Coturnix japonica: one gene and its partner. The protein of the gene in region 2 interacts with the protein of the main gene of each other region in a biochemical or structural test. Links are inferred from orthologs where the notes say so. Each region holds a gene or a part of one and is shown on either strand. Other genes may lie near its edges.

Region 1 (5,236 bases), on a different chromosome or scaffold from region 2:
ACAGGAGCAGAACAAAGAAAATAGCACTGAAATACCAGAAAGCTTATGCACATATTAATTATACTTAAAGCTATAGCTTTTCCTTGACAGCTTACTTAAGTATTGCTTGTTTCAAAGCACCCCCTTGTGCTGGCACTAGGTAAGACAAATTATACAAGAAGCTTATGGCTGTCTGATACCTCTCTATCACTTGATCAAGATCTGTGTTTTTTATGTCTCCCAAACCCTTTTATCTGCTACAGAGGCCTTTTGTTTAATGGCTCATGTCCAAAGTCCTTCCAAGGTTTCAAAGTACACTGCTGGACCCGATCAAACTGATTGAATATAGATGGAGGTAGCCTTCAAACAGTAGATTCTTACTCTTGATGAACTGGAAAACGAAATTATGTGAACGTTGTATGTGTGGGAAAGTCTAACTAGATTCAAATATTATGAATCTCAGAAGGGAGCCACTTAACAATAATAAGTTCATATACTGTCCATGAAGTTTTTGTATATGTTGTTCACAGTTCATATGCCAAACTATTAAAGACTGTAGTTTTGAGACTTCCAAAGTTACAGTGACTTTAGTCACTTCATTCTGGGCTATCCAAAACTGCTTTTTAGAAATATCTTTTTCTGGAATTCAGGTTCCTCTGGCAGTGTCATGAATTGAGAGGAACAAATACAAAACCCCTCAAAGTTTGTAATAATTTTGGAAAATCTTGCCTAATTTATGTACTAGTGATTAACATTTATTTAGATAATGCTTTTGAAGAGCAACAACCATCATTTCAAAACTAGTGATTACAACGTTTCACTTCTCTTAAATCTAACATGTATATCCACTGCCAGCAATATTAGATTGGGCAACCTCTGTCAGTGGGAGTGTTCTGCTGAGACATCTTAACAGAGACAGCACACTTTCATTGGGGAAAAAAAATCCATTCCTTTTTGTTTTTTCAGACTTGAATATTGAAGATATTTTGGAAAATGTCCTGGTTCTGGGTTACCTCACTTTTTTTATTCTTTATTGCTTATGCTTTCTGTAATAAAAATAGAGCACATTTTCCTTGAGCAGATAAATGAAAGATTCTGTATAATTCTTGGTGTCTCAGATATTAATTTGGCGATCATTTAATTGCATCACAAGAGCTATTGGGTGAAATTAAATTACAAATAGATGAAGGCAGACAATGCCTTATAAAAATAAATAAATAAGTAAAGAGGTATCTGCAAGTGTTTGAAATTCTCCCTAACACACCCTACGTTGTTCATCCTCCAGAGAACCACGGCAACAGTGCCAGAATACCACTTTGCACAACAGCTACAGCATGCAGGCACCTGACTTCACTACCTACACAGGCTTTTTCATCTGTAGCATGCATATTTATATATCCTACGCACATTCCCCGTCTCAGTTCCTTGGTTCTCCCAGCTGAGCTGCATGTGATCTGCTCTGCCTCTCCTTCCTCCCACAGTGCCATCCTGCCAGCAGAATCCCTCCCATGCTCTTGTTGCTCCCTGTGTTGCGTTACGTTGTGCTTTGAGCATTCCTGGCAAGGCAGCAAAACAAATAGCTGATAGGTTTAAGCACATCATTCATTTGATTATTGACATAAATCTTAAGGATTAGCTTAGGTAAAAAATGTAACATACTATAAATACTATATAAAAGGCTATGTGTTTAATGCAGTTTAAGTGCATCAGTAAAGTTTAAATTTGAAAAGGACACATTGCCTGTGAAAGGCTGTGATTTTACATTGGCAAACACTGGGTGAACAGACAAAATTTTGCAGAAGTCAGGTGTGCTATGAAGTGTTGCTGTTGCACCTGATCCGAAGCAAAAATGAAAGCAGCAATGCTTGAAATACGGATTTTAAGTTGTGAGAAGTGCAGATCTAATACAACTTTTATTGCAGAATTCTTAGTGCTGACTCCATAAAATTCATCACATAAACAGCTGTTAATCTGTTCACTTTATCTTTTAACATTCGTTTAGTAATCAGTTCTCATTTGTTCTACATATGGTATAGCTTCTCTTTTATAGCAGCTGCATATAATGAACATTTGGAGGCTCAAAATGTATTACAAAAATTACCGCTTTACATTTTTCTACATTATTTTTGTATCTGTCACCAAGGACTTTTGAATGAAAGTTAGAAATTAAGGTCATTAAACATAGAGTAAGGAAAGTTCAGGTACTTTGTCCTCTTTCTGAACTGATGATTTGTAGTCAAATTTCCTGTGACCGTGCTTCACACTCTGCTTAGTTCCTTTAAGCAATTAATTTTCTCTATTTATACTGTCCATTCCCTTCTGTGATTCACTGACGTCAACATGTCAAATTTGATTCACTTGTCAGTTTTGTTCTGTGTCGTATGAGAGACCTCTCCGTTACACACTCAGAGTAACTTACAGACCTGGCAGACTGAGTGCATTTAGAGATTTTAGTAAACGAGAGTTTAAAATATTTAAAGTATCATCAAGTGTTCCAGTTCAGTGTTGGGATCTGTGGTCATTAAAACTGAGCTGTATGAACATAATTCCCTCCTGGACTGTTTGAGTATCATCTTAACTCCTTTTTCCCAATATTCTGATCTTTTACAAGACCATTTTATCACAGCAAGTGTTCTGTATTGTTTATTCATAATTCAGTTGTGTCCAGATTCCTGGACAGAATGAATAAATTGAACAAATGCTTTTCTTGGTAGGAAAGTGGGGGTGAAAATCTAGCTATGTCCAGCGAGTCTGCTAATATTAGGGTATGATGACTAATAGCACACATGCCCTTGGATTGGCCAGTAGTATGTCCTTGGTTAGTGTTTACTGGTGACCTTGACCTGCACTGTATTGTGAGGATTCTACACAGCAGCAGGCAGAGAAGTTCATCAAAACTGGCTGTTGGATCTGGTGCCATTCTGTAAACAGAAAATTCCTGGTCAGTTCTGCCCAATTCAGCCACAATGCCAGGTGGGTTGTAGAAATGATTAAAAAAAGGAAACAACTGCCTAAGTATGCCGAATATTTTGCAGGTCTGCACGGTGTAAATATATTGGACATACTGTTTTCAGATGGTTGATTTATTCAGAATAGCTGCGAGTTAATTTGATATGTGTCACCGGGCATGTAAATAGATAGATATTGGCACTGTGTGTGCAAAAGCGCGGTTGGGGGAAATATACAAAAGATGACAGAGTGCTTTAGAAAGAATTTCAGACATTTCTGCAAGGCATTTTCATTGCAAAACTTTCAGCTGTAAGAGAAATGTGCTTGTTTCTAAATTTAACCCTACTAACAGTTTACCACCTTCTCTTTTTTGTTTCTTTTTCTCTTCCAGTGCCACCTTGGGCCTTAATAGCCATAGCCATAGTTGCTGTCCTATTAATCCTTACCTGCTGCTTTTGTCTCTGTAAGAAATGCTTGTTCAAAAAGAAGAACAAGAAGAAGGGGAAGGAAAAGGGAGGGAAGAATGCTATTAACATGAAAGATGTTAAAGATTTAGGGAAAACCATGAAAGACCAGGTAAAGTACCTCTCCTTTTCTTCAACTCTTGAGTTATATTTGCAGAATTCTGCCTGACATGTCTAACAAAAAAATGTGCTTGACGCCTTGATAGTGGCTCTGTGAAGAGAGGACTGATAGTCAGCATATTCTCAATAGTATCTTAAAATGTGAATACAGGTATGGCATCACTGATAAAGCAGCCAACCAGTTTCTCTCCTCTGCTAATAAAATGAACAGACTTGTAATGACTCATCTGAAAGGAGAAAGTTTATTAAGAGTATATTGGCTGTGACAGAAATGTAGTAAATGTGTGCAGTTTTCAACAGTCTATTGTCAGGACTTTGACCAAGAGCAAGTATAACATTTATATCTTTCTAGCGGTAGTTCTGAGCACAGGTGATAAACACAGATCTGTACTCTGAATCTCCTTTTACACAAAAGCATAAGGTCAACTGAGAAACAAACAACAGCATAGAAGAGAAAATGAGAGACATATAAACAAAGGAAAACAAAATGAAATTGCATAGAGCATTTGGCACAGTGATGCTAAGAGAATTTATTTTGTGCAAGAGGTGGAGCTTAAAAATAGCAGGATATACTTGTAGCTGTAAGTCAGTGGAGTAACTCGGAGAAATAGATTAGCATAATGCCCTTTGAGTAGTATCATCTTCATGAGAGCAGAAAAACTTGTCCTTTAGATCTGCTTCATTAAAGAGAAGCAAAAGTTGCAGGACCTAATCCTCAGTGCCACAGACTTCAGTAATATGTTCCTGAAATATTATTTTTTTTAATCAGGATTTTATTATTGTCCTTCTTCCTTGCAGTTCTGGTGTTAAAAATTCATAGGTAAAGCTATTGAGAATAAACAGAAGAACAGGGAAATAAATGCAAAGAATTTGTGTGTTCTTTCTGCATTGCCAGATTTCCTAAGCAAAGACAAAGGGCTCTATTTTTCAAACAGAAAGTACTGAGGAGACTTAGAGAATTGCAATCTGAAACCTCTTCAGTAGCTGACAGTAACTGTAAAGATATTATACGTGTCTGTGCTTACAAGATCTTTTGTAAGATTTAGCCAGAGTAATTCAGAAGTGCCTTTTCAGTCAATGAGAAAAGACAAAAGTAAGGAATGTAAGTTCCTCCCATTAGCTGGAATCTAGTGTGTGAGGGAAGATGGGGTTGCAGACTGGTTGATTAGTAATAGAAGACAAATCTGGGAGCCTGAGGAATAGTGCTATCAGATCAAGAGTGAGATCCAGGAAAAGCCTAGAGAAGAGTAGAGTTGTAGGGAGCAGCCCAGCACAAGTGGTGGGATGTCACTGTACCCTGATGGAACAGCCACCAATGGGGCTCATCAGCCAGTCCTCAAGAGGCCTGTTACAGGCTAGCATAGTTTTTCAAGCATGTAAGTCATGACAGGGGAAGAATATCAAAAGCGGGTAAGGAGATCTTGTAATTTTGCTGGCTGGCTGCAACTATTTCCAGTTTCCAAAAGGACAGTTTTTGTTGTTGTTGCTCACTAGATAGCTGCCATTACTGAAATGTCAATGCATTAGGCTGTAGTTCATTTTTCTAGGCTATACACTATACCAATGGAGTAAACTTCAGATGGTGCTCTTGCGTACAGATTCAACCTTGGTTCCACCAGGAGGGAAGATGCTTTTCATGTACAACACTAGTATATTGAATTGCAAAGCTTCAAGTATAGACACAAGGCAAATGTGAATCTGCAAACAAGCTCAGCAGCACACAA
Region 2 (5,236 bases):
AAGTCTGTTAGTTTGACCACACCTCTTGGGACCTGAGCACTGATATTCCTTCACTGTATGGAACATTCACTGAGATTTGCAGTATCTTCTCCCTTCAGATCCTCACTCAAGCTTTTTTTCTGCTCTATTTCTACCTGGCAGAGGAAAAAGAACAGTGATAATGAGAATAAATCAATAAATTTAAAACACCTTAGTGTTCATTCCTCAGATGATGCAAATCTTAGTAAAATGAGAGGATAGTAAAGAGTAATAGATGGAGGAGGGAAATATAGATTTGATTTACTGTGTTTCAAGTCAAATCCAAACAATTTTATGATTCAATGGTGTCATAACAGTTTCTGGAAGAAAAAAGATCATGAAGAGAATTGGTCTCATTTTTCATTCATCCCCAGCCCCATCTGTATTTTGTATCCAAATCCAGAACCAAACCTGCAGAGTATAGGTGGCTTTTTACATGACAGCAGAAGACTAGTCTCAGTTTCAAACTCTGCAAAGCAACTGATGAAAGCAAAGAGATTCATTTGCAAAAGGCACGCCGATATCTTTTTTCTAAATTTCAATTCCTCCAAAAATTCAGGGACAATCAAATGTTCAATTCTTAGAAGGGATAGTTAGGAAGATCAAATATAATCTCTGGGGAATTTCAGATACTACTAAAAATGTAATAACATTTCACATTAAAAATATTTGCCACAAGAATCTTTTCAGTATCTATCATCATTGCTCTTGCAATCATTGCAGGTAGAATGCCTATTTGTCTGCTGAGTGATCATCTACCATGCAAGTCTGTCATACTGAGATTCTTGGCAGGTATACATATTGTGTATTTTCCCATCTGTTCATCTCCTTAGGGCAGGCAGAAAAAAAAACTATAAGCACAGAAGCAATGTGATCCTTTTGTCTGCAGTAGTACTCCCACTTTAAAACTCCCACTATAGAAAAAGTCCCTGTTCACACTCCTAGTTTATCAGCTTCTCCCCAGGAACTGGTTGTATGCATGCTCTTCCACAAAGTCACTGTAAGCACAGTGTATATTTTCACTGAGCCATAAAACACAGCTTGTCTGCCATGAATCTGCAGGCTGCATGTGGGGAGCCACTGTACAGAGCTTGACATGTATCAAATTCCCATTTGTTTGTCTACACTTTTCAAGACAATAAATTATGTGAAGTAACCATGGTGACTGACAAATGCTCATTTTTACCTTGTAACTGTAGTGTGCTGAATAGTTGACCCACTTTCTCACACCAGTCTTGTCCTCAACAGAGATGGACCGAACAGTGGCTTTGGATGCAGAAGTAGTGGGCATGTCAAATTCCACATCTACGTGGCGAACAAAACTGGAAGGCACTTCCCGGTCAGAGCCAAGCTCTAGGTGACAGAAGAAGCAGTGTGGATGGCCAGAAGCTTAAAAAAGAGAGCAAACAGACATGAAAGCTGTCTTGCTTTGTTGAAAGAAGATTGCATCTAAGTAAAAGCAACATCGTGAAACAGCAAGAAACTGAGAATCTGCCTGGGTGAACTACTTTGCATCAAATGTCAGGATCTTATCTGTTTCAATGCTCCATATGCTGGAGTTTCAGTTCAGTTTAATTAGTCAGAGTAAATAAATTAAATGAACTGCAAAACAAATGACTGTCAATCAGTCTAATTTGCTTTTAGTGGGTTATAAATCAACCACTGTAGGTAAGGATATTTTCCCTCTTCTTATTACCTCAGTCTATGTAACATGTTAAGAACACTGTGGAATATCCCTCTAAAATATGCGCTGACAGTAAGTAAAGGCATATTTGGCAGATATTTCATAGTTATTTTTGAAATGATTATCCCCATTTATTTTGAAAGCAAACATATTGGATAACATTAAACTTTCCTGGGTTCAAAAAGCATATTTGTGCACATCTTGGAAGTAATAATGTATTCATCATTCTTAACCATCCACTAGATAGCCAGTCATTAAAGATGGAAAGGTGAGAAACCAGTCATCAGTAACTGATCAATAACTGTCATTAGTAACTGATAACTTTTGCTATTATATTCTTCCCTTTGCTTTGCTGGACAGCAGAAATGTTTAAAAAAATGAAGTAGGAACTGCTAGCTAAGTTAAGTTGGCTGCATTTCTGACTGTTACAAACCCCCTAAGCTCTTGAGCAAGCCATTTAGGTTCTGTGCCTCAGTTTCTCTATCTGCAGAATGAACATTCACAGCCACTTTGGGATTTCTGACTGAAGGGATCCCATTATAAATTTGTTTTATAAAAAACAAAACAAAACAAAAAAAAGAAAACAAATCCCAAGCTCAGTAAATAATATTCCCCTCCCAGTGCAAAGCACAGCAGCCCTAGTTCTGATAACTGCTAGATATGGCCTAGACTGCATTTTCTCCTAACTTCATTTTCTGGAATGACTGAACAATTTGAGCAGAAATTCAGTTTAAAATTTTCCCCAAACTTAGCATATAATATTTCAGCCTACATTGTTAACCTGTAGCAGAATTGGACACAAGGCTCCGAAGTGCAGAATGTCCAGTGTCCTTAATAAGAGGGCTGATTATAGGAAAGCTGATCAAGGCAGAGAGCCTTCAGAAAAGCTTACAGTTGTAGTTCAGTGTTAGAAACAACCTGATTCCATGAAATATTTAGCTTTGCTGAATTAGTTCAAATAGTAAGAAATATCTGAATTTTTAAAAATTATCATTAACACTTTAACTCCCAGTGCACTACGTGATGTTATGATGTGGAACACCAGTAACCAAAAATCATAAAACCATGACATTCAATTTACAATGTAATTATTCAATTATTTAATTTCTTCCATCAGGAATACCAACTACTAGAAAGGACCATGCACAACGCTGAGACAAATACAGAAGTTATTAATGTAAATCAGATCAGCATGGTAGACAACCAAGCAAACAGATTATGAGAGCAACTCCTCCTCCAAAAGAAATATTGAGTACATCAGTGTTCATTAGTAACCTGAGGCACACAATGGACAACTTCTGTGCACCTTGTGTGTGCTCAGCAGGCTCACTCAGAGCTACCTCTGCAACAGAAAAATGCACATTTCTAATAAAATCAGGAGGAAATCACCAGACTGATTCTCTTCTGAGCTTCCTGCTTCCTTGTGCTACTAGCATTCCATTCTGAACATTGTGGACCTCCTAATGTAATTCATGTAGACACTTGGCTTACTGTGATTGGAGGGAATCTGTTCCAAAGCCCTCTGATGTCCTAACATGTTTGCATTACAGGACTTAATTTACTGCAGAGGGTGCAGCAGGCAGCATGCTGGGGACCCTCAACCAAACTGGACCCAAGTTCAACATCCAGATCCCCACTCAGAGGCTACAGCTCTGACCCATTCCAGGAATGTTTTCCCATGACTGGTGGCTGGTGGATGTTTTCCTAACATTCTGCTGGTGGGTTAATAAAAAACAGAAACACTTGGAGCCCAGACTGCTGCATGTGAAACTCTGCAAGGCCTTTTTTTGTCAAATGCTATGACTGTGTTAGCAGTAACATTTACCAAGTTACTTTATAAATGATTTCAGAAATATGCTCAGTAAAATGCAATCCACATTAGTTTTCTAGGTCAAATTATAGTCAGAGTACACACAGTCCTTTATTTGTCATACACTTTTTGACTTCTAGTCAGAAGCAGATGCTTTGTCTACAGAATAATACAGACAGTGCTGATAAAAAGTTCCTACAGTGAGAGTGCAAAGGGCCCCATCCCATTAGGATGCACAAAGAGAAAACATTTAATTAAGACAGTGAAACCACTGAGATAACCCTTACCAAGCCATTCTGCAGCCAGTGCACAGGCAGTGAGCATAGGACAGACCCACTCTGCATCCTCAGCTCTGCAGAGCTGGCACTCAGGGCAGGGAACCACTCTTGAGTGGTTCCATGTACACTCCTCTTTGTTTGCCACGTACTCTGAGTAAGGAAAGCTGTGGAATGAGTACTGTCAAGAAATGTAAATAGCCCTTGAGAGCCAAGGTCAGAATTAAGCTACACTTAACCTATCCTGTCATCACTTTGGGATTCCCTCCCTCTCATATACCCCATGTGTCCTTGCCAAGGCAGTGCTTGCAAGGCCCTTCCTTTCTCTGAAATTACATCTGGCCTGACCGGAGGAGTGAGGACACTCTCTTCCTTTCAGGATGTAAACAAATACTACAGCACTGTGTACTGCACTGTGACACTGACAGATAGGTGCTTTGTGGCAGGGTGCCAGCAGCAGTGCTGAGTGTGATTCATTTCCCTCTGACATAGGGCATGTGTAATGAAGCCTCACACTGGGAGGGACAAGATAAAGGAAGCAAGAGCCACAGATAAACATTTTGCCTTGCAGCTGCAGTGGGTAAGAGAGCATTGCCTTGCAGGAGACAACAGAGCCAGGAGTTCTGCTTCTTCTCCTGGTTTGCTACAGGCATCTTCCATGATTGTGTTAAAGTCTGGGGGCTTACGTTTTCCCAGCTGAAACATTGGTATGGTGTGATGAGATCTTTGGAAAGGAGATGCCACAGAAGGCCCAGTTTCACAGGATCTCATTCCCAGAGCTTATACAGATGGCATAGTGAGATTTCCCTCACAAGCAGGCTGTTGCTCATATACAGACCGAAGTTAATTTTTCACTGCAATATTTCATAAGTTCCCAAGCTCTCTCTCTTATGTCCTATACTACAGAATACAAGGAGTCCTCATTTTTGTCTGTGATATCCCTCCAAATGTATAACCTATGGTGTAACATGGTGTTCCTGGGCTGAAATGTGATCCAAAAGCTTAGAAAACACAGATCAAAGTTTTGCTAACACTGCAGCCTAAACTTGGGATAAACAACTATACTTAGAAAGTGTTAGATCCGGTCCAACACTGAACTTTTTTTCAGGAAACACCAAACACTGAAACCCATGCAGTCTCACAGCTGCATTACTACAGCATCAATACTAAAAAATATACACATATTTTAAAAAGTCTAAGTGAGAAAAATCAAGAAGTAGTAAGCAGTAATTGGCCAGTAAGTTTGCATGGCAATGGTGATGAATGGAAATGAATGAAATACAAATCACATGTGTTAGAACTACAGCACATGACTTGTTATTCAGTCATGTAGCACAGTATCTTGCCTTTGGAAGTCAACTGAGACAGCCTTGCTTCCAATGACAGTGCTAAACACACGGAGGTGTTTGATGCAGAAATTCCATAGTGCACTCATAAAACTGAGAAAGA

The links.
Region 1: the proteins of STON2 (region 2) and SYT1 form a complex in vitro, tested with the Homo sapiens proteins (2 studies listed by BioGRID). The link is inferred for Coturnix japonica from reciprocal best matches to the Homo sapiens genes STON2 and SYT1.

The regions. Positions count from the first base shown.
Region 1 is NC_029516.1:35,737,219-35,742,454, forward strand, and holds part of SYT1 (synaptotagmin-1), read left to right. Parts: intron 1-3,319; coding exon 3,320-3,504; intron 3,505-5,236. UniProt on the Homo sapiens protein: Calcium sensor that participates in triggering neurotransmitter release at the synapse. May have a regulatory role in the membrane interactions during trafficking of synaptic vesicles at the active zone of the synapse.
Region 2 is NC_029520.1:37,099,573-37,104,808, forward strand, and holds part of STON2 (stonin-2), read right to left. Parts: intron 1,408-5,236; coding exon 1,205-1,407; intron 135-1,204; coding exon 51-134; 3' UTR 1-50. UniProt on the Homo sapiens protein: Adapter protein involved in endocytic machinery. Involved in the synaptic vesicle recycling. May facilitate clathrin-coated vesicle uncoating.